Stegostoma tigrinum: one gene and its partners. The protein of the gene in region 2 interacts with the protein of the main gene of each other region in a pairwise test. Links are inferred from orthologs where the notes say so. Each region holds a gene or a part of one and is shown on either strand. Other genes may lie near its edges.

Region 1 (10,558 bases), on a different chromosome or scaffold from region 2:
CATCCTGACTTGGAAACATATCCCTATTCCTTCAACATCATTGGGTCAAACTTCTGGAAGACACTGCGTAACAACACCACAAGTACACCTACACTAAATGGGCTACAAAGGTTCAAGGCTTGCCACTACTTTCTCAAGGCCATCTAGAGATAGGCAATAAATGCTAGCCCAGGCAACAATGCCCAGATCCCAAGAATGAATGAAAACAATTTGGATAGGTCTGTCCAATAGATCAATCCATCCAGACAGCCTTTGATGTATATCCTATTTATCAGGAAATGTATATGAACATAAAACTTTTAAAGGTGCTAATATTATAATGTTTTTTTAAAAAGTAGCTCCAGGAAATGCAGCACTTGTCACTTTTAAATACAGTATGGGGTCAGAAAATAGAGATAACACAGCGTGGAGCTGCAGCAACACGGCAGGCCAGGCAACATCAGAGGAGCAGGCAATTTGACGTTTCAGGTTGGGACCTTTCTTCAGAAATGGGGCTAGGGCAGAGTAAAAGCATTGGTTGAGGTTGCAAAGAATGAAAAACAGGAGAGGTGCTTTGCAAGTCTGGGAGAGGGAGGCTCTGAGCTAGGGTAGGCTTGATAGTAGGGCCAGAAGATGCTGGCGCATTGCTAAGAGCGTGTGCTTCAGGAGCCACAGAGAAAACCCGTTTTTGGAGGGTCTGGATTTTGTGTATGTTGAGGTTGTCACGGTCAGGGCCAAATTGGGATGGCCCCAATGTAGACTGGAGTCCCCTGGGGCTGATCTGGTTCTGTAGGCAGGTACTGAGAAAGGCGATGTGGCTGCAGTATGTGGCCAAGCAATTTCAGAGATTACCAGAGGGTTGCAATGGGAGAGAGATTCACTGAAGTCTTTCAGGAGGGAGGAGGATAACCTCTTCAAGGTAGGCGTCCCTAGAAGAGGCTTCACAGTGGGGTTATAACTCACTCAGCGATAGTAAGAACTACCAATGCTGGGGTCACAGATAACACAATGTGAAGTTGGACAAGCACAGCAGGTCAGGCAGCATCAGAGGGGCAGGAAAGCTGACGTTTTGGGTCAGCACCCTTCTCCAGAAATGGGGCTCTCCAGTCAAAAAATATACATTTCCCCAAAACTAGAACTCCTGCTCCATCTAGTGTCCATTCTAAACAGCAATTTTCTTTTCTGCGTAGTCACATTGGGGCAAAAAAAGCCAGGCCGCGCTGACCGTTTACATTCTTACTAGACCTGGGCACTGAGCCAAGATAAATTAGGCCTTTAAGACTGTATGATTCTGCGTCTCTCAGTCTGGAAAAACTTTTAAAATAGGAGTGCCTCGTAATTTTGTTGTAAGATTAGATGATGTCGATCTTTTTAACAAAAGAAACATTGATACCTTTTTGTAACCTTTTATATCATATTTAAAGTAATATGTGTGAGAAATTTTGCATTTGGCATATTTTCCAATTTGAATTAGTTATCTCTGATTAGTTTCTTCTAATTAGTCATCATGAATTCTGAACAATGCTTCTTTAACACTTTGGAAGCAGCTAAATAGCTGCGTAAGACATTGAGTTAAAAGAACTCAAAGACTAGCACAAACTAAATTACTGGATGGTTTACCTGAACAGATCAATGATCTAAAATTAAGCAGGTTAGTTAAAAAAAGATAATGCATTTTTAAAATGTACAGTATTTTTTTAAAAAAGGAAAATAATGTCTGCTTTCCTCAGCTCATATCATGTCCACAACATATATTCAATATAAAACACTAACAGGTTCTGTAGTGTAGTGATAGTGAAACTGACCTACTAACTCACAGGTAGTGACTTCAAGTCCTATTTCAAACCATATAATTGAATTCAACTAAGTTTATAAAACCCAAAAGAACTACGGATGCTCTAAATCAGTTCCTGGAAAAGCTCAGCATGTCTGGCAGCATCAGTGGAGAGAAATCAAAATTAGCTTGGGTCCAGTGTTCTGAGGAAGGGTCACCGGACCCAAAACATTAACTCTGATTTCCCATCACAGATACTGCCAGACCTGCTGAGCTTTTCCAGCAGCTTCTGTTTTTGTATTAATTAAGTCAATGATTACTGGACTGACATCAGAAACTGATCAATAGAAAACCTCAACTGCTTCATTATGCTCTATGTACTAGTCTCTCGACCCTTCCATGGTAGAATTTCCACAGTGTTTTCCAAACTCTTGCTTTAATATTGACAGGACGTCTGATTGTCTCTTTTTGTGTCTTTCACCGAAGTTGGTCGCTACAGCAGAACCTCACAACTTCCCACCATCGCCATTACCATGTGAATTGGCAGAGCAAACATCCACGTGCCGAGAACAAATGTTAAAAAGTACAGATTTTACACGACATAGTGTTGAAAATTAAAGTCTGTCAGTGTGCAGTGTTAATATGACAACAATGGCTGACACTTGTGAGGACAGGAATGTTTATATCAGCATTTTTAAGCTAGAATATGACGTGGCCACAATGTTCATACATAGAGATATGAGAAATGAAATCATAACAATGTTTGACCTCTGCTGAAACTATCCCAACAAAGAAAATGTAATTGTGTATCATGTGCACAAGATTTTATATTTACAATACCTGGCATGTGCCATTTTTGTAGCTGGATGAGAGACGTAAGGTGCAATTCAGCGATTGGGTTAGACTATCCTCCCTAACCTTTATATGTAGAAGATGTACACAATGGGATCATTAAGCACAGAATCTACAGAGGTCTTCAAACATGAGATAGGGTCTATTAACAGACGCACATAAGGAAGGGGCAGGCTGAAGAAACTATTGCACATTGGATGGTCAATTTTACATGGCAATTGAAGGTTAAGCATTTGTTAAATTTAAACAAGATATTAGATAGATCAAGATATTAAACCGCCTAGCAGAAATTTGTTAACCACAAACTATTCAGGGGTATAGATTAAAATTGAGCATTTACAGTTAGTTCACAGATCAGCCATGATTTTATTAAATTACAGGACAGGACTAAATGGCCACTCCCACTCCTATACTGTGATTAATTACTACATTTTTCCTTTCCGCTAATGGCCACAGGCAGTTGTAAAAGAGCTGATGCCAGGTTTTCTGATCCTCAGCCGGTTGCACTAAAAGCTAACATTGCAGGGAAAGCCTGTCATCCATTGAAGTGTTTCAATTAAATGGATAACCTCCCAGTGAAAAATTGAGTCTGCAATGCAGGGAAAGACAAACTTGGAAACTGATAGCCTCAGTTTCATTTTTTTTCTGGTTTGTGGAACTTCCTGTTGATTTCCAATTTTCACTTGGCTAGTCCAATGTGTACCACATGTAATCAAACACACCTGAGAACTTCAGTAAAAATACCATGCTTAATATTGGATAAGACCCTAAGAAAAATGAGTAGGTCATTCAGTCAATTGAGTCCATTCCACCATTCAGTTAGATCATGGGATTAAAAATCTGGTTATCTCAGCCTTGATTAAATTAAACAATTCAGCCTTGACAGCCCTCTCTGGTAAGTTGAGAGAAAAATAATTCCTCATTTTCTCTGTCTTAAATGGGCACACCTTACGCTGAGATAATGCCTTTCTTGTCCTAGACATTCTCACAAGTGAACACAAACTGTCTGCAGCGACCCTATCTCATCCCCTAAGAATCTTAAACATTTCAGTAAAGTCTCCTTTCATTCTTCTAAATTCCAATGAACACAAGCCCAACCTACTCAACCTACCCTCACAAGAAAATTTTTTCATACCCAGGGTCAAGCTAGTAAACCTCCTCTGGACTGTCTCTGATGCCAACATATTTTTCCTTGGATAAAGGGACCAAAACTGTTCATTGTATTCCACAGGTCTGTGGTCTGGCTAGTCCCTTTTATAATTTTAGCAAACACTCCCTGTTTTTATATTTAATTCATCCTGAGTGGGGCAACATTCCATTTGAATGACAGAATCTTTACATCACAGAAAGAGACAGATCAGCCCATCAAGTTCACACTGACCTTCCAAACCACACAAACCCAGCCTCCCACCATATCCCTGTAACTCTGCATTTCCCATGGGTAATCCACCCAGCTTGCACACTCCTGGACAGCATGGGCCAAATTTAGCATGGCTAATCCACCTAACCTGCACATCTTTGGACTGTGACAGGAAGCTGGCAGAAACCCATGCAGATACAGGGAGAATGTGCAAACCTTGCACAGGCAATTGCTTCGGGCTAGAATCAAACCCAGGTCCCTGGCGCTGTGAGGCAGCAGTGCTAACCACTGAGCCACTGTGCTGCCCTATTGCCTTCCCTATTATCCACTGTACTTGGGTGCTAGCTTCTTCTTATTCATGCACTGGGACTCCCACATCCCTAAGTTGTTCAGCTATCTGCAGTCTATCTCCATTTAAATGATATTCACTTCTTCTATTTGTCCTGCCAATGTGCATAATCTCATTTCTTCCCAAATTATATTCCATCTAATAAGTTTTTGCTCATTCATTTACCTTGTCTAAATCCCTGCATATCTCACCACTTGCCTTCTCACCTACTTTTATGTCATCTGCAAACTTGGGTATAGTACAATCACTAGCATCATCCAAGTCATTAATATATTGTAAATAATTGTAGCCCCAGAACTGAACCCTGCCGCACTCTACTTCTTACAGGTTGCCATCCTGAAAATGTCCTCTCGATCACAACTGTCTTATCGGTTAGTTAACCAATCTACTATCCCTGCTAATACACTAGCCCCACCACCACGGGTTCTTACCTTATTAAGTGGCCCTATGTATGATACCTTAGTGAACGCTCTTTCAAAATCCAAAATGTAACAACTGGTTCCCCTTTATCTAGACTGCATGTTATTGTCTCAATGAACACAACCTATTGTTCCAGAAAACTATCACACATAGTTGCTATCATGGCTACTCCGCCAATTCAATTTTCCCAATCTACATGAAGATTGAGAGAAGATGAAGATTAAAGTCACCCATGATTAATGCCCTGCCTCTTTTTACATGGACTCATCATCTCCTGATTTATTCTTTGTGCTACAAAACAGCTAGTGTTCTGTTTTGTAATAACAAAGCTAGCCCACCACCCATACTTGTCTCTCTGTCTTTTCAAAAGGTCACAAGCCCCTGAATATTTAGACATCAGCATAAATCTCTTTGTAACCATGTGCCCATAATGGCTATAAAGTCATAACCATTAACCACTATTTGTGTCATTAATTCAATTATTTTGTGCTGCATACTTTGTATGTTTCAGACCCATTAATTTTGCCTTTTTACTGTGAATATCCTATCACACGAAGTAAATTACATTGAATGGCTGCATCAGTGAAGAGAGAAACAGAGTTAACATTTCATGTCCAGTATGAGTCTTCTTCCAACTCAACTTGTTAACTCTGATTGTTCCTTGATGGATGCTGCGAGACCTGGTGAGTTCCTTCAGCACTTTGTGTTTTATTTCAGATTTCCAGGATCTGCAATTTTTTGCATTTATTAAATCGACCACCAGTGGATTTACATATTATGATTTCATAAGAAGGGAGCTGTGAGCTCACTTATTTATCCTGTATATTAAAATGATAAAGATTTATGATTATTTATACTTAAATGGAATGCAGTTGATAGACATGATGTTAGAGTTGAATCAGAATCGAGTTAAACAGAACACTAGTGGAGTTATAAGCAATAATTTCGGTAGATGGAGTTGAGGGAACTTTCAACTTTTGAATAGATAAATATGGCTCATAATATTTATTTTTTATTGAAAAGAACAGACATAACAGAAGTAGATACACGAGTGTTGTTTACCTAATAGAAAAGAATATCAGTGGATAAATGATAATTTCAGCAAAGGGACCAAAATCATTTATCATTGCACATTCTAAAATAATAAATATGGTTAATTATTCTTTATTTGTGATTGAAAAGGGCAGAGATAATGGAGAGATTGGAGGGAGGTTGTGCTGACAGCAATGAGAATGGAATTATTGAGTATCAATAGATTTACAAGTAATGATTTCAGTAAATGGGGCTGAAGTCATTTATCATCCTACATATTGACATGATAAATATGGTTAGTTATTTATTATTTGTAATTAAAAGGGCACACCTAATCGAGAGATGTATAGAAAAAACTGTAACAACAGGAACAAGAATAGAATTATTGACTACCAGTGGATTTACAATTAATAATTAAGGTGGGGGGGGCAAAGTTATTTATCATCCCGTATATTAATATGGTGAATAAGATTAATAAATCATTATTTGTAATTAAAAGGGGCATAGATAACAGAGAAATGATAGGGATGCTGTAATAACAGCAACCAGTATAGAATTGTTGAGTACCAGTGGATTTACAAGTGCTAATTTTAGCAAAAGGAGATGGGGTTAGTTTTTTTTAAGGGGACATATGTATTTATGTTTGTGATTAAACTGGAGAAATATTCCAGAGGAGGGAGTTGTATTAAGTGGGGACTTTGATCTGGCTTTAAGGAGGGCCATGCTCTCAGCAGCTGCTGTTTGTAAACAGATGCCACTTCAAGATGGCGGCGGGAGGGAGCAACCTCAGCGCCTGTAACCGAGTCAACATCCCTAATGGCGGCGGCGGAGGTGGTGGCGGTGGATCGGGCAGCCCGAGCTTGGGCACCAGCTCCTCGCCGCCTTCCTCGCTGTCCGGCGGGGTCGGGCCGGGAGGAGGTGGAGGATCGGCGGCGGCGGCGGCAGCAGCAGCAGCGGCGGCCGCGGCTGTAGTCATTTGCCGGGAGCCCATGTACAACTGGCAGGCCACCAAGACGACGGTGAAGGAGCGCTTCGCCTTCCTGTTCAACAACGAGATCCTGAGCGACGTGCACTTCCTGGTGGGCAAGGGGATGGGGACGCAGCGGATCCCCGCTCACCGCTTCGTGTTGGCCGTCGGCAGCGCCGTCTTCGACGCCATGTTCAACGGCGGCATGGCCACCACCTCCACCGAGATCGAGCTGCCCGACGTCGAGCCCGCCGCCTTCCTTGCCCTCCTTAAGTGAGTGCGGCCTGAGGGGAGGGGAGGGGCGGTTATTCATCAAACTTACGCCGTGGTTTGAGGCCTATCTAGATCTTCTCCGCTCCAAGACGGATGCCGGCCCGTCCTTTAGTACTGGAGAAGTCTTATTTTATTTTCTTTTATTGCCCCCCCCCCCCCCGGCATATTTACGGCGTTTCCCTCCCCGCGTGTTTAAAGATGTTATCAAAGTATTATGTTTAAACTCGCAGTCGGGAAGGCGCAGTCTGAGTTTTTATAAGATGGTTCACGCCCTTTTTGTTGGTGTTTTGCGGTGGGGGAGGCTGGACTTTTGTAGCCTCGGGGCTTCATTCATAGTCAGCGGAAGGTTGCAGCTGCGCTGATCCAGTTGGTGGTGATGCCTTCTTGAGTAAATGGGGACTAGCTTAAGACAGACTTGTCCTTTGTAAGGTACTAAAATTGCATCGCATCGCATCGCTTTCGGGTTTTCGGGGAGACGAGGTTATGTTTTGCGCCTATGATGCAGCTGTACGTCTGGGTATTTCGTTTTTGGTTTGTGGACCTTGAAAGGGTCTCATTTTCAGTGCTCATTACGCCGACAGAATGAAGGCAAGATGGCTAATGCACCGCAGAGTATTGAAAGCTTTTGCACCTCTTCAGTCAGAAGACTAATCAAACTACATTCCTGTGAAAAGCTCAATATCTGCTTTACGCTTGGATTTTAGCAAGTGTCAGCAACATTTTTTTTATTTTAAAGGGGGCAGAGATTTCTGCTTATTGCCCCACCCAGTTGTTTTTCCACTGATGCATTAATATTTGGAATTAAAAATCTAATTGCTTCCAGATTTCTGTTAACCCCCCCCTCACCCTTTAAGTTGTAGCTCACAAATTTTAGGTGACAAGTCTGTTTAAGCTGCCTGTTTTTAACGCAGCTGATACAAAATGCACATCATAACTCTTGCCAAACATGTGAGTTTTACAGTCTTTTTTTTTCTCGCTGTTGGTGCGCATCATCAAGTGAGATATTGTGCAATGATGCACAACTTGACATTATAGAGCCCTTACTGTCTTTGAAAAGTGACATTTTGGACTATCAAATCTGTACAGCTTTCTTGCTTAAACCATTGGTTATTTGGTCCCAGGCTTTCAAAGTTATTTTTACAATATCTGTTGTCTGTGGTGCTGGAATGGTGGCATTAATCACATGAGGGCTTGTATGTAATACATGTAATTTTTTTTGTCTGAGCTGTGGCATTGTGTTGCTAGGTTGTTCTGCAGTTGAACCTGATCTTGCCTAATGTTGATGCACGCTTTCTAGTAGTGTACTATTAAATAGTCAGCTGGAACTGAAATGCCAGATAATGCATCCTAACCAGTGAAGGGAGAGGAGGGCAGCGGTTAACCTGAAAAAGAACCCCTGTGACTTTTTCATTTTCTAATCACTTAACAATACATGGGAGATGGTAGCATGGTGGTAACTAATGCTCTGGGGAACTTGTTTCAGTCTACAGCAACTGGTGGAAATTAAATTTCACTTGAGTTGAAATCCAGACTCGTTCAGGTGAGTGTGACACCATTGGAAAAGTCCTGAATGGGTCACTTCCTTCTACCGTTTTTACCTGCTCTGGCTTCCTTGCGGATTTTGTGGCATTATTCTTAAAATTGTAACCATATTTGTATAACTGATCCCTGTTAGGAGAAATAAAAGAATGCTTTGAAGTTACAAGTGAGTTCTTGGTCAACCACAATGTTCTGCCCTCTTGTTCGGAAAGCGGTGACGTACACCAGGATATAATTCATGTGAGCACTATCCTCGTCGGGGCACAGCATAAGCTCCTGTTTCCAGTTGTGAATTAGATTAGGCCTGATTGGGTGAAAATGTAAAAAACATTTTATTTTCACCCAGTGTCTATGCAGCTATTATTTGATGACTACTATTAATCTAGTCACTGTTCTGACAGAATTCAGCTCAGATCAGCAGTTGAGTTCCGAGGAAGGGTAACTGGACCCAAAACGTTAACTCTGATTTTTTTTTCACAGATGTTGCCAGACCTGCTGAGCTTTTCCGGCAACTTCCATTTTTATCCTAGCAATTAAGTAGTTTCTCTTCAGTGTAGCTCATCACTACATAGCACATTTACCCATCAAACCACTGTTTTAAGAGTTTGTTAGCTCAGACAGTTGGTTTGCGATGATGTGATATCAGTTGCACTGGCTCAACCCTTACACTTGCTGAGGTTACTTTGAAGGACTGTCCTTCTCAACTTCTCCCCTTACCTGAGGCATGGTGACCCTCTGGTTAAATCGCCTGCAGATGTGTATCTCTGATGAGAGATCAAACTGACAGCCCAATCAGACTATGGTGACACTTTTTTCTTTAATCCTTGTGGAATGCGTGGGAATTTTCTGCAAAGGCCTTGAAATTTTGTGTCTTTTTTTATTGTAAACTAAGTTGGCTTTGATTGTGGTACATATAGAACACCTCTGCCCAGCAAATTCATATCTTCGTTTATTGTTCCATGTGGTTGTTAGATTCAGCAAAAAACACACGTGGTACATCTTTTTTATGAAATGTAAAGATTCTTTGAAAGATGGTAGACTTTAAATTCAGTGGTCCTTTTTTCAAGTGGATGAGCCATTTTTGATTTATAACATGTAACTCCTTTATTCCAGCATTCTCAGATCAGGCAACTTCTAGTCTATCATCTGCAGTACGATTCCAGTTTTTGGCTTGGTCTTCTCGTTAAAAGAACCGTATTCATATTTAAAGCTACAAAGTGATGATCTTGGATGCAAGTCAAACAATATTTGTTCTGGTGCAAACTTATCAGTATACAAAACAAGCCTGTAAGTTGAGCAGCTATTGCTAATAGTAAAACTGTTTATACTAAACTTAGCTGCAGCAAATACTTAATTAATCATATTCAAAGTTTTCATCTCACCACCCTGTTCCTGTTTATATGGATTGTTTTCTCCAGCAGCTATCTCACTTGGCTCCGATCTCCCTCAACTAGGATTAAACAAAACCAAGACGATTGGATTTTGTTGGATCTTGTTTTGTTAGATTTGTTTTTTTTTTCTCCCAACATTGAATGAGGGCTACAGAAATAGAAGTAGCCCACTTGGCTCCTTGAGCCTGCTCCAACATTTAGTAAGATCATGTCTGTTCTAACATTCCTCATGTCCACTTTCCTGCCTATGCTCCTGATTCCACTAGTGATCAAGAATCTATCTATCTCATCCTGAAATATGTTCCAAGGATTCTGCTCCCACAACTCTTCGTGGCAAGGAGTTCCAAAGAGCCTAAACCCTCAGAAGAAATTCTTCCTCCAGTTAGTCTTCAACCAATGCCCCTTTATTCTGAGACTATGCTGTCTGGAAACATTCTCTTAGCATTTATCCTGTCCAGCTTCCTAAAAATATTTGGTACTATGTCTCGGGTACAAGTACCCCCAAGCCCCTTTGTATTGCAGCTTTCTACCATTTTTCTGCATTTAAATTGTTCTGTTCTTTTGTTTTTCCTTTCAAAATGAACACCTTCACAATTCCCCACATCATAGTGCATTTGCCAAC
Region 2 (11,281 bases):
CTTTTCGACCAACATGTTGAGGAGCCAACTAGAGAGCAGGTTAACCTAGACTGGATATTGTGCAATGTGGATGAATGAATCAATAATATTGTTGTGTGGAGTCCACTGGGAAAGATTGGAGAATGAAGAGATTGACAGACGGGAAACACAACAGTGGGAGCAAATGGGTCTTTTTCTGGGCAACATGTGCTGACAAGTGGTATACTGCAAGAATCTGTGGTTGGGCCCCAGCTGTACACAATATATACGAGCAACTTGGATGACAGAACCAAATGCAATATTTCTAAGTTTGCTGTTGAGACAAAACTATGCAGGGTTGAGAGATGAGGAGGATCTGGTTAATCTGGACAGATTGAATGAATGAGCAAACACAAATCAAATGCAGTACTATATGGTTAAATGTGAGATTATGCACTTCAGTGTGAAAAATAGAAGGGCAAAGTATTATGTAAATCATGATATATTGGGAAATATGGATTATAAAAGGATCCGGGAGTCCTTGTACATTAACCAATGAAAGTAAGCAAGCAGGATCAGCAAGCAATTATCATGGTAAATAGTATATCAACCTTTATTGCAAGAGGATTTGAGTTCAGAAATAGGGATGTCTTCCTGCAGTTAAACAGGATCTTAGTAAGACCACATTTGGAGTATTGGGTGCAGTTTTCGGACTCCCTACCTAAGCAAGGATATATATGCCAAAGAAGGAAGGCTGCAAATGTTCACTAGACTGAAAACTGTGGTTGTTTTTGGACTGCCATAGGAGGACAGATTGGATTGATGAAGCCTTTATTCAGTAGAGTTTAGAAGGATATGAGGGGAGCTGATTGAAAAGTATAAAATTCTAACAAGGCTAGACAAACTAGATGCAGGGAGTGTGTTTCCCTTAACTGGGGAGCCAGAAACCAGGGGAAGTATGTTGATAGAATCAGAATATCAAAATAGTGTTATGGGGTGGTGATGCACTGCAGAATGACTCTCTTTATTTCCTCCTATACTTTGCTTCAATGGCACATATAGGTTTGAGATGAGGAGACTCTTCTTCCCCCAAGGGTGGTAAATCTGTGGAATTCACTTCCAGAGAAGGCTGTGGAGGCCAGGTCACTGAACATATCCAAAAAAACAGATTTTTAGATATTAGAGGCATCAAAGGATTTGGAAAGAAAATGGAAATATTTCTTCGAGTTAAGGGATCAACAATGATCATATTTCAATTGTAGAATAGGCTCAAGAGGCCAAATGGTCTATTCCTACTCCTAGTTTCTATGTTTCTGTAACACCAATTTTATTTTGTCAGTCTGCAAGTACGTGTATGGGGTGTTTATAAGAGAATAAGAGTTTTGACCAGTAAAGTGACATATTAAGAGTTCATAGTTGTTTACCTATAGCTCGAACCTTTTTATTTGCAATAAATTGTAATTCTTAAATATAGAAATCTGGTCAATTGTTAACCCATGTCTAAAGAGACAGGTAATTTAGGGAATTTTACATTTTTTAATAAAATTTTAAACTTTGGTAAAACCCCAGGAATAGCTTAAATTCCACTTCACTACTTCAGTGAGGTATGATAACTGACTGCCTAACTGCTCTTGAAGCAACATATTCTCAAAGTGATAAGCAGACTTATCTTCTGAAAATCTTTTCTCCTTGGTCAAAAAGACTTATTTCCCCATTGTCACCTTGAGGTAGTTATGCAATGATCCCACTTCTGATTATGAAGTTACAAGTTGTGGTACTGACCACTAGTTACTAGCTAGTAACCACCAATCTCTCTTTCTGTTCCTTTCTGAAAAAAAGGTTATAACAGGTTAAGCAGCCCATGCTGGGGCATTGTAACAGGAGCAAAATCAAGTTGTTGACAGAAACTTGTTGATAGAATCAGAATATCAAAATAGTGTTATGGGGTGGTGATGCACTGCAGAATGAGTCTCTTTATTTCCTCCTATACTTTGCTTCAAATATCAATCTGCTCAAAGATATTATTTCACATCTCTGGACTAGGTTGGGACTTGAACCTAATTTTCCTAGCTCAGACATCAGAACATTACCACTATGCCACAAGGGCTATCTGAGTGGCAGACAACAAGCCACTATTTAATCTTAATAAGAAATTCGTCTTACAAGTCAAGGTGTAGTTTATTGCATGAGAGCAATAGGTTCCAAGTTATATTACGCTGTTAGGCATAATTACAAAAAGTATCAGGAGCCAGAGTTGACACACCTATCTCCATCGGGACCTCATTTCAGGCTTTTTGTCTCCACCTAAAGACTGCTTGACATCATTGGATTGGATGCTGCTTGCTGCAGCTTTAACATTAACTGCTTCAGAATCATCTTACATAACTGGATGTATTGGACAATATTCCACATTGCTGACTAAGTGCTGATGTTGTAGTTGTATTGGAACAGCTTGGTTAGGATTGTAACTAGTTTTGGGGCACAGGTCTTCAGCTCTAAAGGCAGGATTTTTTAAAAAATTCACAACCTTGCTGTGTCCAGTCTGTTCAGCTATTTCTTGATACCATGTGACATGATACAAATTGGCTGAAGGTTGACTTTTATGATCTTGGAAACCTCAAAAGGAATCCAACATAGTCAACCCATTAGCTCTTCTCACTGAAAATGGTTGCAAAATCCTCAGCCTTCTCTTTGAATCTGTGCTCCCCAATTATTAAGGACAGAGATATTTATGGAGACTTCTTCTCCAAGTAGTTGTTTAATTTCCTACCACCAATCTTAATTCGATTTGGCAGAATTGAAATGTTTTGATTTGGCCCATTGATTGGGGAATCATTTAGCCCAACCAATAGCATGTTGCTTTTGCTATTTTGATGCACGTTGCCCAATGCAGTACGTTTACAAGGTTCTATTTCCCAAGAACCTTACACAGGATTATATATGAACAGTAGCACAGAAAGAAGTGTCATGAGGCCTGAATTGAGTAAAAGAACTCATCGGCCAATAGCCAAGAATGTGCACACCCTGGAAAGTCCACCTTCATCGGATTTGGAACAGTTAAATTGCTTAGCAACATCCAAATCAGAACCAATCAAAATAAACGTCTGGTTAAGAAGTCAACCGGTTTTAATGGAGGTTCATATCGGTGCAGCTGTATCAGTGATTGCAGAACTAGTCTTTGACAAAATTTGCTCTGGACCCTTAAATTTGCATAAGATCTCGACTGGACTGAGAACCTACACCAGGGAATCTTTACATATTAAGGTACAATTTCAGTTCCAGTCCCATATGGGAAGCAACTAGCTCAGTTAACAATGATTATAGTAAAAGGCTCAGTCCGAAGCCTGATGGGGAGAAATTGGTTGAGGAAGATTCACCTTGGTTGGCTCAACATTTTTGGATTGGAAAATGGCTGCCTGATTGAAGCCCTAATTAAATACTTGGAAGTTTTTCAGGGACGTCCAGAGACTATCAAAGGAGTCAAGGCCACCTTATATTTTGACCAGGAAACAATTCCATGATTCTGCAGGCACACCCAATGCTAATTGTCTTACGGGCAAAAGTAGAGGCAGAAATCATGAGGCTGGAAAGTGAAGGAATCATCAAACCAGTACAGTTTGCAGAATGGGCAGCACCGGTAGTACCGATTATGAAGCCCAATGGATCAGTGCACCTTGTGGAGATTTTAAACAAACAGTAAACTGCTTCTTGCACTGAATTAATACCCAATCCGTCACATAGAGGACTTATATTCCAAACTGGCTGGAAGCTGTCCTTAACAAAGCTGGGCAAGAACTGTGCAAACTTACAATTGCGGTTAGATGAGAATTCCCAGACATATGCTACAATTAATACCCATAAGGGTTTGTACTGATATACAAGATTTGGCGTACCTTCAGCCTGCACTATTTTTCAGTAGAGAATGGAGAACATTTTACAAAGTCTACTCCAAGTCGCCAATTATCTGGATGATGTGCTAATAACTGGGAAGACCAATAAAGAGTACTTAAAAAGAATTTGGACATATTGCTACAAATTTCTCCCAGGTGCCCAAATGCCTTAGAAGGAAAAAATTTGTATTCTAGACACTCTAAGTGACCTATTTGGGCTACTGACAAAACCGGGTTACACCCTTGGTAGATACTACGAGGGTAATCAAAGGCGGTCCGGCTTGCACATCTGTACTGGAGCTTAGGTCCTTGCTTAGATCCATAAATTATTACATAGTTGGATGTTATGTTGAGGTTGTACAGAATGTTGGTGAGGCTTCTTCTTGAGTATTGTATCCAGTTCTGGTCACCCTGTTACAGGAAGGATATTATTAAATAGGGGGGGGTTAAGAAGAGATTTACCAGAATGTTACCGGGAATGGAAAGTTTGAGTTATGAGGGGAAGTTGGATAAGCTGGGGCTTTTTTCACTGGGATTTATGAGGTTGAAGTGCAACCTTATTGAGGTTCATAAAATTATGAGGGGTATAGATAAGTCGAATGGCAGGTGTCTTTTCACTAGGACGTGGGATCTCAAGACCAGGGGCCATAATTTTAAATTGAGGGAAGAAAAACTTAAAAAAAGACATGGGGGCATTTTTTTTTTACAGGAAGTACTTCATATGTCCAATGGGCTTCCAGAGGAAGTGGTGGACGCGAGTACAGTTACAAGGTTTAAAACACATTTTGGTAAGTATGTAATTAGGAAATGTTTGGAGGAATATGGGACAAGTGCAAGGAGGTGGAACTAGTTTAGTTTGGGATCATGGTTGGCATAGACTGGTCAGATTGAAGGATCTGTTTCCGTGTTGTATGACCCTATGACTATATAAGTACTTCCTAAAGTTGAATGGCATTCGGCATATAAGAGTAGCTCCATGCCAGCCATCATCCAATAGTCTGGCAGAAAGAGCAGTCTAAACTCTAATGGAAGACTTCAAGGAACAGCTTACATCTTCACTCGATACCAAAATGTTCTGGTTCCTACTTGATTATCAGACCACGTCCCTCATGCAACTACAGGGATAGGTCCAGCAGAGTTGCTAACAGGGAGGAAACTCCACACCGGGTTAAACCTGATATTCCAAGACTTGGGGCATGGCAGGGGTGGGGGAGAAATGGCTGGACACAAGACTCCCCTCGGTAAGAGACAGCTTACTTCAGGGGATAAAGTTCGATGTAAGATTCACAGAAATGACCCTGCATGGGTAAGAGGCATGGCCAATGCAAGGTCTGGTCCCGTGACACACAAAGTTCAAGTAGGTGAGGTGGTCCTGAACAAGCATGTGGTCATCAATAAAGCTACAAACGCACAAATAGGTCAGCAAAAAATAACCAGCACCTCAGAGTAGCCAGAAAGGCTGTCTGGACCTGTGGGCTCTCCGTCTAAATCTAGCCTTGAAGAAGTCTTGGAGTCTGAGACGGACATGGTGGACGTTGCAGCCTCGATGCCTTTACCACCTGACACCCTGGGTGCAATAGGCGAGCTATGACCTGGAGCACACTGCCCGTATCTGATGCTGAGTCAGAGGAACTGGACTCTGTAGGAAAACACCCCAGTGCAGGGTACAAGAAAAAGAGCCTGCCTCCTTTCCCGGATTTAGATTTGATGTAGGAGTTGGATGTTATATTGAAATTAGGTCAGCCAGGCGGACTTCCTAGAATATGAGTTCCCTATCTGGTGCTTTTAATCTGCTCCAGTCAGGGAGCCCTGGCTGACAGCTACAAACAGGAGCATCAGAGGTTCTGTTCACTCTGACAGCTGGTTCTGTGGAATCCGGACCAGTTTGAAATACCATGCATGTGTAAATAAAGAGCAACTTGGTGATGAGATACCGGCCTCTGTGGAGTTAATTCAGTCTGTTTGGCTGTCTAGGGCTGAAGGTCTAGAATTCTCTGGCAAATGGTGTCTGTCTCTTCCTCTCCTCTTGCAAGACATTCCTTAAAACCTTGGGATGTGGCTAAACTTTTGATCAGCTGTCCACATTAAGTGGGCATAGCGTCAAACTTGGTTTGCAAACATCGTTGTATAAGGCTCTGGAATGCTTTCCAAAGGTGCCACAGAAACTCAAGTCGCTGTTGTTTGGCTTGTGTCCATTCCTTCTGCATGATAACACCCCTGCAAAGTGCCTTTGGACTATTTACTAATTCAAAGGTGCCACATGAAATAAGTTGTTGCAAAAGCTTGGAGTAACTTAACCTGCTGCTCTGATCGTGAAGCCCTGACATCAGAAGAAACCACTGTGACATCATTTGGCTTGATGAGAGTTGTTGCTGTGCTAACTTTTCTATAGTTGATGGTCCACTGAGTTTTTGAAAGGGGTGGGGGGAAGGTGTGTCCTTTGGGTGAAGTCTGGGGTTGGATGTGGAACAGGAAGGGTGTGTGCGTATGTCTGTTCAGCTTCTGTTGAGAGGAATTGCCTTAACTTTCCAACAACTACAAAGCAAGAGTAAAGTTTATCCCCTCTCTTCCTGGGAGGAAGGAGTCTGATGCCCCCAGGGAGGGTGCTCAGGGGGCTGGTTGGATGGGTTGGGGAGAGTTTGGGCAAAGAGGGAGGCGTGTCTGTGCTATTTAAATCAGCTCTTTGGTGCAGCTGAAGCCACCAATTGTGAGGGCAAGGCAATTGAAATGTAAATTCGCCTCTAAGTTAAATCCAAGTGCATGCGCAGTACGTCGAAACTGGGACTTAGACGTTGTACAGGGGGTTGGAGCAGTTCAATCTGAGCAGGTCTTTGGTGTGTATAGAACTCAACTCCTCACTAACTCCACAAAAAAACCCTATAGAATAATCAGAAAAGAAACATCCTCCAACAATGAGCGTTGATCACCTCTCCCAGGTAGGTGGAACGACCTTCCAGACCGTGCGTTTTATAAAACCCCGTGTCTTTTATTTCCCCCCCCCCAAAAAAACATATATTTGATGACTTGAAACTTGTGAAAAAAATTCATCTGTCTCTCACTTTGATGGTTCGTGGCCCTTTTGATTGTAAGGAAGCAAAGTACTAACGTGGATTTTTCCCCTTTTTTTCTTGTGTTCACAGCTCAATACGGATTCCCGCTTGAACGGTGAGTATTTGAGGTGAAAATTGCTTTTATTTAATTTGTTCGTTACCCCCTCATTACCCCCCCCCTCCCTCGACCACCACCTCCCTCGACCTTTCCCTCTCCTCCTGTTTTCTCTCTGAGGGAAGAACAAGAGGATCAGACATGGCGTCCAGAGACTAAGTCCCGTCTACGTGCCCACAAGCCCTATTGTTCAAATCAGCCTCCAAAATAACCGCCTTGCCGGCTCCCCAGCGAGCCCTTTCCCCCGCCGACCGCCTCCACTACACCCAGAGTCTGGCGTGAGGCTGCCCGAGGGCTGTTGGGGGTTTCGGCCGGGCCGGCATCGCGAGCGAAAAGCCGGCTTTTCGGCCGTTAGGACTTAGTCTCTGCGCCATTTTATTTTTTCTGACTGTGTGTGTGTCAGTTGCTTCGTGCATGTTGTTAAGAGCGAGGCTCCCTTCTCTTTTTTTTTAAATATATAAAACACACCGACAGCAATGTGCCGGGCATTTAAATAAGAAGGCAGGAGGAACGAGGAAGAAAGGTTTAGAATTCTGAGAGGTGGGGGGTCTAGAAGACACACAAAAGGGATGGCGGCAGAAATTGCAACTTGTTTTTTTCAATGCAGTTTGCATTTTATGCCTTTTTTATATGGGGGGGGGGTGATGGAGCAGCAATGCCTCTACTCACATGGTGGCAGCACCGTGAAGGTTATGATGTATTTTTATATATTTTTTAAAAGCAGTATTTTGTAAGATTCCCTTTTTTTAAGTTTGCATTGCATGGTTTTTTTCCCCCCTCTCTTGCCTGCCCCTAGGTTTTTTAAAAAAAGACTTTCTCGATTTGCGTTGAATTTTTTTATCTAGTTTGAGGTTTTCGATACTTCTGGAAGCTTTTTTTTACTAAGGAAAATAGGGGTTATCTGCTTAACCTTTTGAAAAAGAATCGGTGCTGGGATAATGATTGTCATGTCTTCAAATAAGAGATTGTAAGCATTGTCATGATTGTTCTGTGCAGTGGTGACATTGTTTCAGAAAATTTTCCATACCCTTTTAAGTTGTTTCCTTTCCCCAAAAAAAGCACTAGTCTTTCCCAAAGTCTACTCAGACTTACAGGGCATTGCTGGGTTGGTTCATGGGGAGAGGGTATTTTTAAATAGCTTTGTGATCAATTATATTCCATCTTGCAGCTCATCTACAGATATGCAATCGAGATCCTTTCTGTGTGAGGCTTAAAATTATTGTACTAATGTGTGATGATTTAAGATATTGATCCAGTTAAAAGTTTTCAGTTTTGAAAGATTGCAGTTCTAATGAGATCAAGGATGATGCAGGATGCAAAAAAATGGAAACATATATGTAATTTGAAGGATCTTAACATTTGTTGAAATACCCTTTTTCAATATACTATTCTTTGGCATTCAGAATGATTTACAAAGTCAGTTGGACTTTGCATTATCATTTTGAAGCATAAAAGGATCTATGAAATGTGCATTGAAGTATGACATCTTCCCTTTTAAGATTCAAATTGCCCAATAGCAACTGTGTTTTAATTTTTCAGCATGTTGAAGCCATTCTGTTAAATGACAAGCTGCTGTGCTAGCACACATGATTGAATGCTTGAAGAAGGAAGTGAGGTTTTGGGGAGGTGCAGTAATAGAGAATTGAGTTTAGTTGAAGAAACTGAGTATTTAAAATGAATGGACAGTGGAATGCTGTTGGATTTTTCCTTGGCAAGTTATACTGCTGTAGGATATTGATAAAGAATAAAACTAGAACTCTTTCAGAAAGAAACATTTAAAGTTTGATTCTGCTCATTGAGGTGCTGTGTCTTGGTGATGAATTGGATTTTACTCCAGATTTCATTTGAAGAACAAGGTGTGATTTGAGAAGCTGCTTGTCTGAATGCAAATATCACTGAATTTGAATGGCTGTTACATAGGGTACCGGTTAAGATTGTTTGCAATTTTTCTTTTGTCAAAGCAGTAACTCATAATATGGCTCCATATTTCTGATGCTTTTTGGTATTTTATACAACTATTCAGCCAGGTACGTTGAGCAAGGCATGTTCATTCCTTCCTTGAAGGCAAATTTGGGCACATTAGGGAGATCAGAAGCAGGAACTCTGAACTCTCTTCCAAGCTGAGCACCTGCTGTGGGATGAATTTTGTCTGTTCTGTATCCATTCTGTCTTTACCATAACTAATGTGGTAGACTAATATTTCTGGCTTTCAGCTGAAATTCCTCTCATGTTTTCTTCACTGACCAGTGATCTGCAGTGACAAAATCATTGCAAAAGCTGAGGCCATGTGGTTCCTTTATCTGGTAACCTTCCAATCATTCTTCTGCATTCTTGATTTCTTTTTTCCTAGAGCCCACGTCACTGGTAGTATTCATGGTCAACAGGTGGAAAGCACAGAATTCTGCATAGTCTATTGCAACTAACTTTTCTCGGACTTGAAAGCCCTTAAAGTACAACTCTCCTTCCTTTGAGTTACAGTCTCATGTTAAGTTGTGATTTCATGGGTATTGGGGATTTACACTCCAGTGGCCACTCTTTGTAAATGAGCCTGGATTCATGGGTAGTGCACAGCAAAAACTGATCTGACTAGAATATCATCCCAATTGGAATCACTAGATAATCTGTGAAATCTATTCAAATTCAGCTTAGGGGCTGTTCCCGTTGTTGCCTCCTCTACATCGGGGAAACCAAGCGGAGGCTTGGGGACCACTTTGCAGAACACCTATGCTCAGTTCGCAATAAACCTTCCAGTTGCGAACCACTTGAACTCCTCCCTCCCATTCCTCAGACGACATGTCCATCCTGGGCCTCGTGCAGTGCCACAATGATGCTACCCGAAGGTTGCAGGAACAGCAACTCCTATTCTGCTTGGGAACCCTGCAGCCCAATGGTGTCAATGTGGACTTCACAAACTTAAATCTCCCCCTCCCCCTACCACATCCCAAAACCAGCCCAGCTCACCCTCGTCCCCGCCTCCCTAACCTGTCCTTCGTCCCACCTATCCCCTCGTCCCACCTCAAGCCCCACCCCCATCTCTTACCTACTAATCTCATCCTGCCCCCTTGACCTGTCCGTCCTCCCTGGTCTGACCTATCTCCTCCCCATCGACACTCACCTTTGACTCCATCCCCACCTCTTTGACCTGTTTGTCTCCTCTCCACCTATCTCCTCCTCTATCATCTTCTATCCGCCTCTGCCTCTCTCCCTGTTTATTTCAGAACCTGCTCCCCCATTTCTGAAGAAGGGTCTAGGCCCGAAACGGCAGCCTTCCTGCTCCTGTGCTGCTTGGCCCGCTGTGTTCATCCAGCTCTCCACCTTGTTATCTAGGGGAAATAATATTGGCTATAATATTTGGAATTGTACTGGTTTGGCTCACTTAATGGAGCAAAGGCCAAAGATCAGTGAGATTCTACCTTGTTGGCTTTTTACAGCTCCTACCAGGCTGTCAACTTGGAAACTGTACTAAAGAGTGAAGTAACATATCATAAGGGTTTTTTCAGTTGTCTTTAAATCAGTGAGTCTTGCTGTAACATGATACCAGTGACCCTACTAGGAAGGGTGGTGTGAGATAACACTGTAGGGATTCTGTGATTCTTCTGCTACCATCCCTAAATGTTTGTTCTTGCTTCACAAGCCTGGGCTGCTAAATCATCATCATAACGCAGTCACTGCACATGTACAATTTCCAAATGGCTGGGGGTCACTGTCCATTATTCTGTGTTGAGAAATAGGATGAATCTACTTTGCTCAGATAAAATGAATCCAATGTAAGGCCAGAAATCACATCTGGGGGGGGGGTTTTCTTTTCTCAAAAAAATTAATTTGATATTAAGTCACTGCATTTGCACTGGTGAATTTGGTCATTTACCTAAGAGTGCTTTAAGCACTTATAGAAAATTCCACAGAGGAAACTTGGGGAATGATCGAATTGCTGGCCTAACATTTATTGTTAGGAAATTACTTATCTACAATTAAGCAGAGTGTGAATGAGCATCTTTTTAAGTTTTCAGTTGATCAAAGAACTGGTTTACGCCTGTAAAGACAAGGGCATGTCTGATATAACTGATTACCCTGTGAATGGTTTTCATTACTTCATCGAAAGTAATGTCTGCGCATGTTATTTACTACAGACCTCAACAAGATGTTTGATTTTATAAAGTCCCCCATAACAGACATTAGCTAAAGTTGAAGCCCATGAAACTGAGTACGGTGTATTGGCATAATTAGAATATTAGCTGAGCAGAAAGAAATGAAGCATAGATAGTGGC
Region 3 (10,983 bases), on a different chromosome or scaffold from region 2:
CCAAGGCTGGTACTGCATATTTCTTTGCTGTGTATAGAGTCGTCATCACAGTCTCAGGACCAATTTGTACTTCATCAGAATACAGAAACCTGCATAAAAACAATACAAATTCATTGAAAAACAGCACAGAAAGGTAAAGGAGAATAATCCATGGTTGACCGCAATCGACAAATTCAGCTATCCTAAAATGCAAAACCCATTTCTCCACTGCTTATTGACAAGACTCTTCACATTTAAGATTTCTTGGAGGTCTTCAGTTTTGAACAATTGCAGAAAAAAATCTGATTGTGAGAAAATACCTGGAACAATTTATTTAAATAAAAGAGATTGTTGAAAGGTCACTGTGAAGAGTGCTGATTTTTAAAACGAAAAAAGGCTTACCAAAAATTACATAACAGATGATCACTTTTGTCTGTAAATTCTGCTGGGGTTACTGGAACAGTGACTGGATGGAGTGTACTTTCATCCTGAATTAGTTGGTGGACACTTCCTAAAATGTGGGATTAGCATAGATAGGTTGGCACCGACTCAACAGGTTGAAGTGCCTCTTCTGTGCTGTATGAATGTAAGACGAGAGATTTGGGAGGAAGCTGATTCCTCCTATTTCTGAAAAATCTCTTGTTGATTTCCGGGAAAAACCTATTTGTCCTCCTGAAAAAGAGTGATTGAAGGGACTTCTCAATATTGAATGTCCTGAGCAAGTGTGTCAGAGACAACTGTGCATGATTTGACTCTCAGTGACAACAATTTACATATAACACACATAAAAGAATCTCTACCATAACGTGGATAGATGCGCAGAGAAATAATTTTCATTGTTATCAGGCTTCTCAAAACTTCAGGGCATCCCAAACTTCCTCTCTACAAAGGTTCTGTCACTGCTAGACATGTAGGAAAATGGTCACCAAATATACACATAAGTTCATACAAATGAACACTTGCAAATTCGAGAGAGTCTACTTTTGTTGTTGTCGAGGGACAAATTTTGGCCTGGACACCAGCGACTGATAATACCCATCCTTTGAATCGTGTACATCTTCTTCAGATGACAGATGGTAGCTCCAGTGTGCCACACCTCCCCTAAATTACTAACCCTACTGTGTACCCTACAGCCTCCCCCACAATCAATTCAGCACTGGTCCTCCAATAGTACTGTTCACTCAGTACTGACACCCAGTACCCCCAAACAGGACTGGGACATATACCACATTCTCCTACAAACACAAATACTGCTTCATCTGCCAGGATCCCTGCAAGTATTACACTCCTTTTCCTTAATTTTACAAACCACAGTAAACTACATTTTCTATATCTTTTTTCTGATGAAGGGTCTAGGCCCGAAACGTCAGCTTTTGTGCTCCTAAGATGCTGCTTGGCCTGCTGTGTTCATTCAGCTCCACACTTTGTTATTTCTTATTTCTACCTCACCTAGACTTGTTTGAAATGGAGAAGACAAAATATCCCCATTCACACGTATCTGATTCACCCTCAATAGAACTTTCTCCCACTTTGTCTTTTGGAGTTCAGAGACAGATTGTAAACAATCTCCAAAAGGTTATGAACCTGAATACGCAAATGCTTGGATTTTTTTGTTTTAAAAGGGGAACTATTTGCACGTCATTTTAAAGCTCACTATCTTATTCCAGCCAGACTTAATATACAAAAGCCTCCTTTAAATACTGGGTTTCCAACTGCAGCTGTTCATAATCTCTCTACCCTCATTAACCAACAAACACAATCATCCTCACCATTACCAGGATTTGCAAATCAACTGTATTAATTTTGACAATCACTCACAGAGAATCATAAAATACAGGATGAGGCTATTTGGCTCATTAGAAATGCAAGTCTCACTAATTTATGTGTACTTTCCTCAAAGACTTGAAAATTCTGTCTTCACGCATCTAAACAATTCAGCCTTAAACCATCTCCATCTTCAATCTGAGATAATGGGAACTGCAGATGCTGGAGATTCCAAGATAATAAAATGTGAGGCTGGATGAACACAGCAGGCCAAGCAGCATCTCAGGAGATGCTGCTTGGCCTGCTGTGTTCATCCAGCCTCACATTTTATTATCCATCTTCAATCTTTTTCGTTATTAAATGAACAAACTGCTCCAAGAAAAATTGAAAAAATATTTTTGCTACAACCACAAAGATTTTTCTGCAGGGCTTCTTGGAACAATATTCTGTAGGTTAAACTTTAATTGCCAAAGATTCCAGCACAATGTGGGAGAGTTTGCTAAACGGTTTGTTTGACCTTCAGTCGTGTCCCTTTCTCCATTCTGTACGTGGCTTTGAAACTATCATAAAAAGTTATTACGTAGTGAAAACAAAAATTGCAGAATGTCTAGTCACTGCTAAATGTACTGGATCTACCCAAGTGCAAACACTCTCTAACAGAACAATTAAACCACACCATCCTTTCAGAAAAACACCTTGGAACATAATGTTAATAATTCAAAGGGTGAACATTGAAATTAGACTGAGCAATGCAATCAACACGGGAATTTGTTGAGACAATAATATCCCAAAGAAGTGAATCCTGCCCCCAGTCTGAACACAGCATGTAATGTTTCACCTGCAATAACAGCGAAGGTTTAGCCATATTAAAATAAAATTCTGAGCCACACTGAAGCTGTAACGAGACTTTTGTATTTGTGTAGGCGCCGCGGTATTAATAACATTAGTGTGAGGAATATTCACTGATTAACAATAAGAGACGGGGCACCGCCAGGGCCGCAGTTCATCTTCATGACACTCCGGTTTAATCAGTAAAAATAAGTAAATTATGGACGATGCCCCTCTCTTTGTTTACTGTTAATAATTATTGAATAAGAAAATAAATGAATAATTTATTTTTAAAGCAGTCACACTAACCAGAGGCAGTTTTAATGAGAAATCCCATCAATCTGCGAGGAGACCTGGCGCCTGCGATACTCAGATTGTTATAAATGTTAAAGGACAACAAACTGTCTGCATTTAGGGACACTCGCGTCAATAATTCTATTAATAAACAAACTGCACCCAGCTGTCATTTCATCTTTACACAGAAACAGTGATGTTATTTATAATAAATAATATAGTCCTCCGTTAGGAATATTCTTGGCATCGACGCAATCCGTCAGCGAGAATCGCAGTTGTTATCAAGTATTTATTTGTAGGCCGCAGCCCCGGGCTCGAGTAGCTCCCCTCACCTGAGCAGCGCCAGGAAGGCGGCGGGTTCGACGTCAGGCAGCTCGATCTCCGCCGAGCTGGTGGCCATGCCGCCGTTAAACATGGCGTCGAAGACGGCGCTGCCGACGGCGAGGACGAAGCGGTGAGCGGGAAAGCGGCGGGCGCCGGGACCTTTGCCGACCGCGAAATGGACGTCGCTCAGCAGCTCGTTGTTGAACATGAAGGAAAAGCGCTCCCGCACCGAGCGCTGTGCTGCCTGCCAGTTATACAGCGGCGGGGCCGGGAACTGGGCCCGAGGCCCCGGGCCCACCGCCCGAGCACCGCTCTCTCCCGGCCTGAACCGCGTCCTCGCCGCCGCCGTGTCCTCACCCTCCGCCTCAGCCATTTTCACAGCGCAGCCCGGGGTGGGGCCACGGCTAAGACCCGCACCAAACACCCAGACACAGACCCACACACACCCCCCTAAATGCAGACCCACGCACTCACTGACACACACCCCCAGACACAGACCCACACACTCAGTGACACACACCGGCCCACACACACTCCCCTAAATGCAGACCCACATTCGCACTGACACCCCCAGACACAGACCCACACACTCAGTGACACACACCCTCAGACACAGGCCCACACACACTCCCCTAAATGCAGACCCACGCACTTACTGACACCCCCAGACACAGACCCACACACTCACTTACACACACCCCCAGACACAGACACGCGCTCACTGACATACACCCCCAGACACAGACCCACATTCTCACTGACACACCCTCAGACACAGACCCACACACTCACTGACACACACCCCCAGACGCAGAGCCACGCACTCACTGACATGCACCCCCAGACACAGACCCACGCACTCACTGACATGCACCCCCAGACACATCCCACACACACCCCCCAACACAGACCCACACGCTCACTGACACACACCCCCGGACACAGACCCACACGCTCACTGACACACACCCCCAGACGCAGACCCACAAACTCACTGACATGCACCCCCCAGACACATCCCACACACACCCCCAGACACAGACCCACGCACTCACTGACATGCACCCCCAGACACATCCCACACACACCCCCCAACACAGACCCACACGCTCACTGACACACCCCCAGACGCAGACCCACACACTCACTGACACACACCCAGATGCAGACCCACACACACCACCAGACGCAGACCCACACACTCACTGACACACACGCCCAGATGCAGACCTACACACACACACCCCCAGACGCAGACCCACACACTCACTGACACACCCCCAGATGTGCGCACACACACACGCACTCTCACTGACGCAGACCCCCAGACACACACCCACACACACTCACTGACACACACCCCCAGATGCACATCCCCATACACTGACACACACCCTCAGATGCAGACCCTTACATACACTGTGACACACAGACCCAGAATGACATACACACTGACACAGACACACCCCTGCACAAAACCCACACATACTCCCAGACACACACACACACATCCCAGAAACAGACTTATATACATCCAGACACTGACATGTAAACAGAGTCCCAGGTACATATAGAAACCCACACGCACACACCGAGACAGACATCCGTACACACTCTCAGACACTGACACTGACACACACTGGCATTGACCCAGACAAAGAGCTACACAGACACTCAAGATACAGATCACACCCAGGCGCATGCAGTCAGGCACTGACACACAAATATTCACACAGACAGACACCCAGACACATGCAGACGGACATGTAAATACACACAGAAACTGACACACAGGAACCAACATACACAAGCCCACACATAAACATGCACAGTCAAATAAATCCAGACACATACACACACACAGATAATGGGAACTGCAGATGCTGGAGAATCCGAGATAATAAAATGTGAGGCTGGATGAACACAGCAGGCCAAGCAGCATCTCAGGAGCACAAAAGCTGACGTTTCGGGGCCTAGACCCTTCATCAGAGAGGGGGATGGGGAGAGGGAACTGGAATAAATAGGGAGAGAGGGGGAGGCGGACCGAAGATGGAGAGTAAAGAAGATAGGTGGAGAGGGTGTAGGTGGGGAGGTAGGGAGGGGATAGGTCAGTCCAGGGAAGACGGACAGGTCAAGGAGGTGGGATGAGGTTAGTAGGTAGATGGGAGTGCGGCTTGGGGTGGGAGGAAGGGATGGGTGAGAGGAAGAACAGGTTAGGGAGGCAGAGACAGGTTGGACTGGTTTTGGGATGCAGTGGGTGGAGGGGAAGAGCTGGGCTGGTTGTGTGGTGCAGTGGGGGGAGGGGACGAACTGGGCTGGTTTAGGGATGCGGTGGGGGAAGGGGAGATTTTGAAACTGGTGAAGTCCACATTGATACCATTAGGCTGCAGGGTTCCCAGGCGGAATATGAGTTGCTGTTCCTGCAACCTTCGGGTGGCATCATTGTGGCACTGCAGGAAGCCCATGATGGACATGTCATCTAAAGAATGGGAGGGGGAGTGGAAATGGTTTGCGACTGGGAGGTGCAGTTGTTTATTGCGAACTGAGCGGAGGTGTTCTGCAAAGTGGTCCCCAAGCCTCCTCCAGCCTCACATTTTATTATCAGAGATGTTACGAAGTGCCTTTGGAACAGCTGGAACTGGAACCTGGTTCTCCTGGCTCTGCACTACCACTGTACCACAACAGCTCATCCTCTCCATACCACCCTGTCAAGACCTCTCAAGATTTTGTATGATTCCATCAATTGACCTCTTCTAAATTCCAGATACAAGCCTAGCCCGTCCGAACTTTCCTCATAAAACAACCATCCCACTGCCGGTATAATCTCGAAAACCTTCCCTGAACTGCCTCCAACTTGTATGCATGAAGACAGCCTCAACCGTGATCTTAGGACTTTGGCTCTCAATGTGACCCCACCATACTGTTCTATATCTGTAAGATCTTCCTAGCTGTCCTGTTTTGACACCATCATATTGATAAATTGTTGTCATCCCTCTATCTTAATTAGTTTGTACAGTTTTGGATCACGTATTACTTTGGTTAGACCCCCAGCGTGCGATTCATAGCTATCGTTATTCCAGTCATTTGGTTTGTCTCCAGCACCGCCTTATTTTAAATTTTTTGTAATTATCTCTCTATCTTATTTAAACAGATTATGAATCATCCCTTGTTATTCAGGTGTTGCCACTTTACTCACACCATTTGATACTTTTGATCATGTACAGAGACTTATTATTCCAAATATGCATCACACCATTTGTATGATCTTTTGACCTCACTACTTATGAATTGTGTCTCTGTGTGCATCTCTCTCACTTCACCTGATGAAGGGGCTATGCTCTGAAAACTTGTGATCCCAAATAAACCTATTGGACTATAAACTGGTGTCATTTGAATTCTGCCACAGTCTTCCACACGACTGAAATGAGGAAGAATTTCTTCAGCCAGAGGGTGGAGACTTTGAGGAACTCATGGCTGCAGAAGTCTGTAGAGGCCAAATATTCGAGTGTATATAAGAGATAGATAGGTTCTTGCTTGGTAAGGGGATCAAGGATTAATAGAACATAGAACATTACAGCACAGTACAGGCCCTTTGGCCCTCGATGTTGTGCCGACCTGTCATACCGATCTCAAGCCCATCTAACCTACACTATTCCATGTACATCCATATGCTTATCCAAATACGACTTAAATGTACCTAAAGTTGGCAAATCTACTACCGTTGCAGGCAAAGCATTCCATTCCCTTACTACTCTCTGAGTAAAGAAACTACCCCTGACATCTGTCCTATATCTTTCACCCCTCAATTTAAAGCTATGCCCCCTCGTGCTCGCCGTCACCATACTACGAAAAAGGCTCTCCCTATCCACCCTATCTAACCCTCTGATTATTTTATATGTTTCTATTAAGTCACCTCTCAACCTTCTTCTCTCTAACTAAAACAGCCTCAAGTCCCTCAGCCTTTCCTCGTAAGATCTTCCCTCCATACCAGGCAACATCTCCTCTGCACCCTTTCCAAAGCTTCCACATCCTTCTTATAATGCGGTGACCAGAACTGTACGCAATACTCCAAGTGCAGCCGCACCAGAGTTTTGTACAGCATCACCATAACCTCTTGGTTCCGGAACTCGATCCCTCTATTAATAAAAGCTAAAACACTGTATGTCTTCTTAACAGCCCTTTCAACTTGGGTGGAAACTTTCAAGGATCTGTGTACATGGACACCGTGATCTCTCTGCTCACCTACACTACTAAGAATCTTACCATTAGCCCAGTACTTTGCCTTCCGGTTACTCCTACCAAAGTGCATCACCTCACACTTGTCTGCATTAAACTCCATTTGCGACCTCTCAGCCCAGCTCTGCAGCTTATCTATGTCTCTCTGCAACCTACAGCATCCTTCATCACTATCCACAACTCCACCAACCTTAGTGTCGTCTGCAAATTTACTAACCCATCCTTCTACGCCCTCATCCAGGTCATTTATAAAAATGACAAACAGCAGTGGACCCAACACCGACCCTTGCGGTACACCACTAGTAACAGGTCTCCTGGACGAACATTTCCCATCAACTACCACCCTGTCTTCTTTCAGCAAGCCAATTTCCGATCCAAACTGTTATATCTCCCACAATCTCATTCCTCCACATTTTGTACAATAGCTTATTGTGGGGAACCTTATCAAATGCCTTGCTGAAATCCATATACACCACATCAACCGGTTTACTCTCATCTACCTGTTTGGTCACCTTCTCAAAGAACAAAGATTATGGGGTGAAGGCAGGAGAATGGGATTGAGAAACATATCAGTTATGATCGAATGAATCCAGATTTGTATTATTATCAAGGAATAACGTTGTAATAGTCGAGGATTTTAATTTTCCAAACATTGACTGGGACTGCCATAGTATTAAAGATTTGGGTAATGAAGAATTTGTTAACTGTGCTCAAGAATAGTTTACTTATGAATAGGTAAGTATTCCTACTAGAGAAGGAGCAAAATTTCAGCTTCCCTTAGGAAATAAGGCAGGGCAAATGACTGAAGTGCCCAGGGGGAACACATTGGGACAAGGGATCGTAATACTATTAGTTTTAACATAATTATGGAAAAGGATAAGTCTTTCATAAGGGTTAAAGTTCTTAATTGGATAAGGAAAACTTTAAGGGTATAAAAGAAAAAGTTGCAAAAGTTCATTTGAGTAGATTGTTCACAGATAAAAGGACAAGTGGAAGGCCTTGAAGAGTGATAATGACAGTTCAGAGGCATTACATTCTTTTAGATTGAAAAGGAAGCTGGCAAGATTAGGGAATAAAAGACGAATAAAGATATTGAGTTTCTATTCAAGATATAGACAACTTGGATCCCTTGAAGCGAGGGGCATTCTTAAGGAAATCGGGAAGACAAAAACAGGATATGAGATAACCTTGGCAGATAAGATTAAGGATAATTTTTAAAAATTCAACAAATACATTGAGAGCAAGAGAGCAATTAGGGAGACTAAGATCAATGAAGTTGCCTCAGAAGATAGGAGAGATATTAAATGAATATTTTGTGACAGTTTTTTACTGTTGAGAAAAAAATGGAGGCTAGAGAATTCAAGGAAATAATTATTGATGTTTTGAAAACAGTTCACATTGACAGAATAGGAAGTGCTGGAAGTCTTAGATAACATAAAGGTAGATAAATTTCCAGAACCTGATCTATTGTATACCCGCACATTGTGGGAAGTTAGGGAGGAAATTGTTGGGCCCCTAGCAGAAGTATTTGTATCATCTGTAAAAGTGAGTGAGATGCCAGAGGACTGGAGGGTGGTTAATGTTGTGCCATTGTTTAAAAAAGGCTGCAAGGGGATGTCTGGAAACTATAGACTAGTTGAGGCTGATGGTGGTGGGTAGGTTGTTGGAGGTTATTCTGAAAGATAGGATTTACATGATTTTGGAGAGATAATGATTGATTAGAGATAGTCAGCATGGTTTTATGCCAAGAGAATTGTGTCTCACAATTGATTGAGTTTTTTAACAAAGTAACCAAGAAGATTGATGGCAGCAGATTCGGTAGACAATGTTTACTTGGAATTTAGTAAAGCCTTTGACAAAGTTCCAAATGGTAGACTAATTAGTAAAATTAGATCACTTGGGATTCAGGGTGAGCTTGCCAATTGGATACAAAACTGGGATTTCAGTCAGAGGCAGAGGGTGGTGGTGGACAATTATTTCTCAAACTGGAGCCCTGTGATCTGTGGTGTTCCACAGGGATCAGTACTGTGTCCACTTTTGTTTGCCATTTATATATATGAATTAGATGAGAATGTAGGAGGCATGGTTAGTAAGTTTGCAGATGACACCAGATATGGTGTAGTTGACAGTAACAAAGGTTATCTAAAATTACTGGGAGATCTTGATCAATTGGGTCAATAGGCTGAGGATTGGCAGATGGAGTTCAATTTGGATAAATGCAAGGTATTACATTTTGATAACACACATAAGGACAGGACTTAAGCAATTTACTGGATAATGTTGTAGAACTGAGAGACCTAAGAGTTCATGTCCAAAATTCTTTGAAATTTATGTCACAGGTAGACAGAGTGGTTAAGAAGGCCTTTCAGCGTGTTTGCCTTCATTGCTCAGACTGTTGAGTATAGGAGTTATGACGTCATGTTGAGGTTATACAGGACATTAGTGAGACCTCTTTTGGAGTCCTGTGTGCAGTTCTGGTTGCCCTGTTATAGGAAGGATATTAATAAACTGGAGCAGGTTCAGAAAAGATTTACCAGAACAGTGCTGGGAATGAGATATAAAAATAGACTGGAAAGGCTGGTAGTTTTTCACTATAGCATGGGAGGTTGAGGGATGATTTTATTGAGTTTTATAAAATTGTGAGGGTCTTTTCCCAAGGGTGGGGATGTTCAAAACTAGGTGTCATATGTTTAAGGTGAGAGGAGAAAAATTTTAAAAGAAGGACAGGAGAGGCAACCTTTTTAGAGAGCAAGTGGTTTGTGTGTGGAATGAACTGCCAGAGAAAATGGTGGATGCAGGTATGTTACAATGTTTAGACATCTGGATAAGTACATGAATAAAAAGGTTTTTGAGGGATTTGGGCCTAATGCAGGCAAATGACACTGGGTTAGTTTGGGAACATTGTCGGTGTGGGCTAGTTGGAATGAAGGGTCTGATTCCCTTCTGTATGACCGCATGAATGCCAGAGCAGACATGATGGGCCGAATGGTATAATTTTGTTCCTATGACTTATGATCTTATGGACATCTTTTCTTTCTTAATCTGATTTACTACTGTGACTTGTATCTAGGTACAGCGAAAAGTTTTGTTTTGCATGCAGTGCAGGCAGATCATACCATATAAAGTGCATAGGGGCGAGGAATACAATGTTACGGCTATAGAGAAGGTGCACAAAGAGCGAGATCAGTGTCACAATTTGAAGTTTGAGATGTCCATACAAAAGTCTAATAACAGCAGGGAAGAAGCTATTCATGAATCTATTAGTGTGTTTGTTTAAGCGATTGTATCTTCTGCCTGACAGCAGAGGTTGGAAGAGATTATAATCAGGGTGGGAGGGATCTTTGATGATAGAAGCAACAACAAGCGTAGCTGGAGTCAATAGATGAAAGAGAGATAACAAAGTATGGAGCTGGATGAACACAGCAGGCCGAGCAGCATCTGCAGTTCCCATTATCTCTGATCGCAGTAGATGAAAGGTTGATTTGGGTGATGGACTGGGCTGTGTTCACAACTCTCTGTAGTTTCTTACAATCCTGGGCAGAGCGGTTACCATACCAA

The links.
Region 1: the proteins of top1a (region 2) and BTB/POZ domain-containing protein 2-like interact in a two-hybrid assay, tested with the Homo sapiens proteins (2 studies listed by BioGRID). The link is inferred for Stegostoma tigrinum from reciprocal best matches to the Homo sapiens genes TOP1 and BTBD2.
Region 3: the proteins of top1a (region 2) and BTB/POZ domain-containing protein 1-like interact in a two-hybrid assay, tested with the Homo sapiens proteins (2 studies listed by BioGRID). The link is inferred for Stegostoma tigrinum from reciprocal best matches to the Homo sapiens genes TOP1 and BTBD1.

Annotation. Positions count from the first base shown.
Region 1 is NC_081383.1:17,875,963-17,886,520, reverse strand, and holds the start of BTB/POZ domain-containing protein 2-like, read left to right. Parts: upstream 1-6,332; 5' UTR 6,333-6,530; coding exon 6,531-7,006; intron 7,007-10,558.
Region 2 is NC_081372.1:14,188,314-14,199,594, reverse strand, and holds the start of top1a (DNA topoisomerase I, like), read left to right. Parts: upstream 1-6,634; 5' UTR 6,635-6,760; coding exon 6,761-6,784; intron 6,785-6,988; coding exon 6,989-7,013; intron 7,014-11,281. UniProt on the Homo sapiens protein: Releases the supercoiling and torsional tension of DNA introduced during the DNA replication and transcription by transiently cleaving and rejoining one strand of the DNA duplex.
Region 3 is NC_081386.1:35,808,565-35,819,547, reverse strand, and holds the start of BTB/POZ domain-containing protein 1-like, read right to left. Parts: upstream 4,033-10,983; 5' UTR 3,563-4,032; coding exon 3,198-3,562; intron 90-3,197; coding exon 1-89.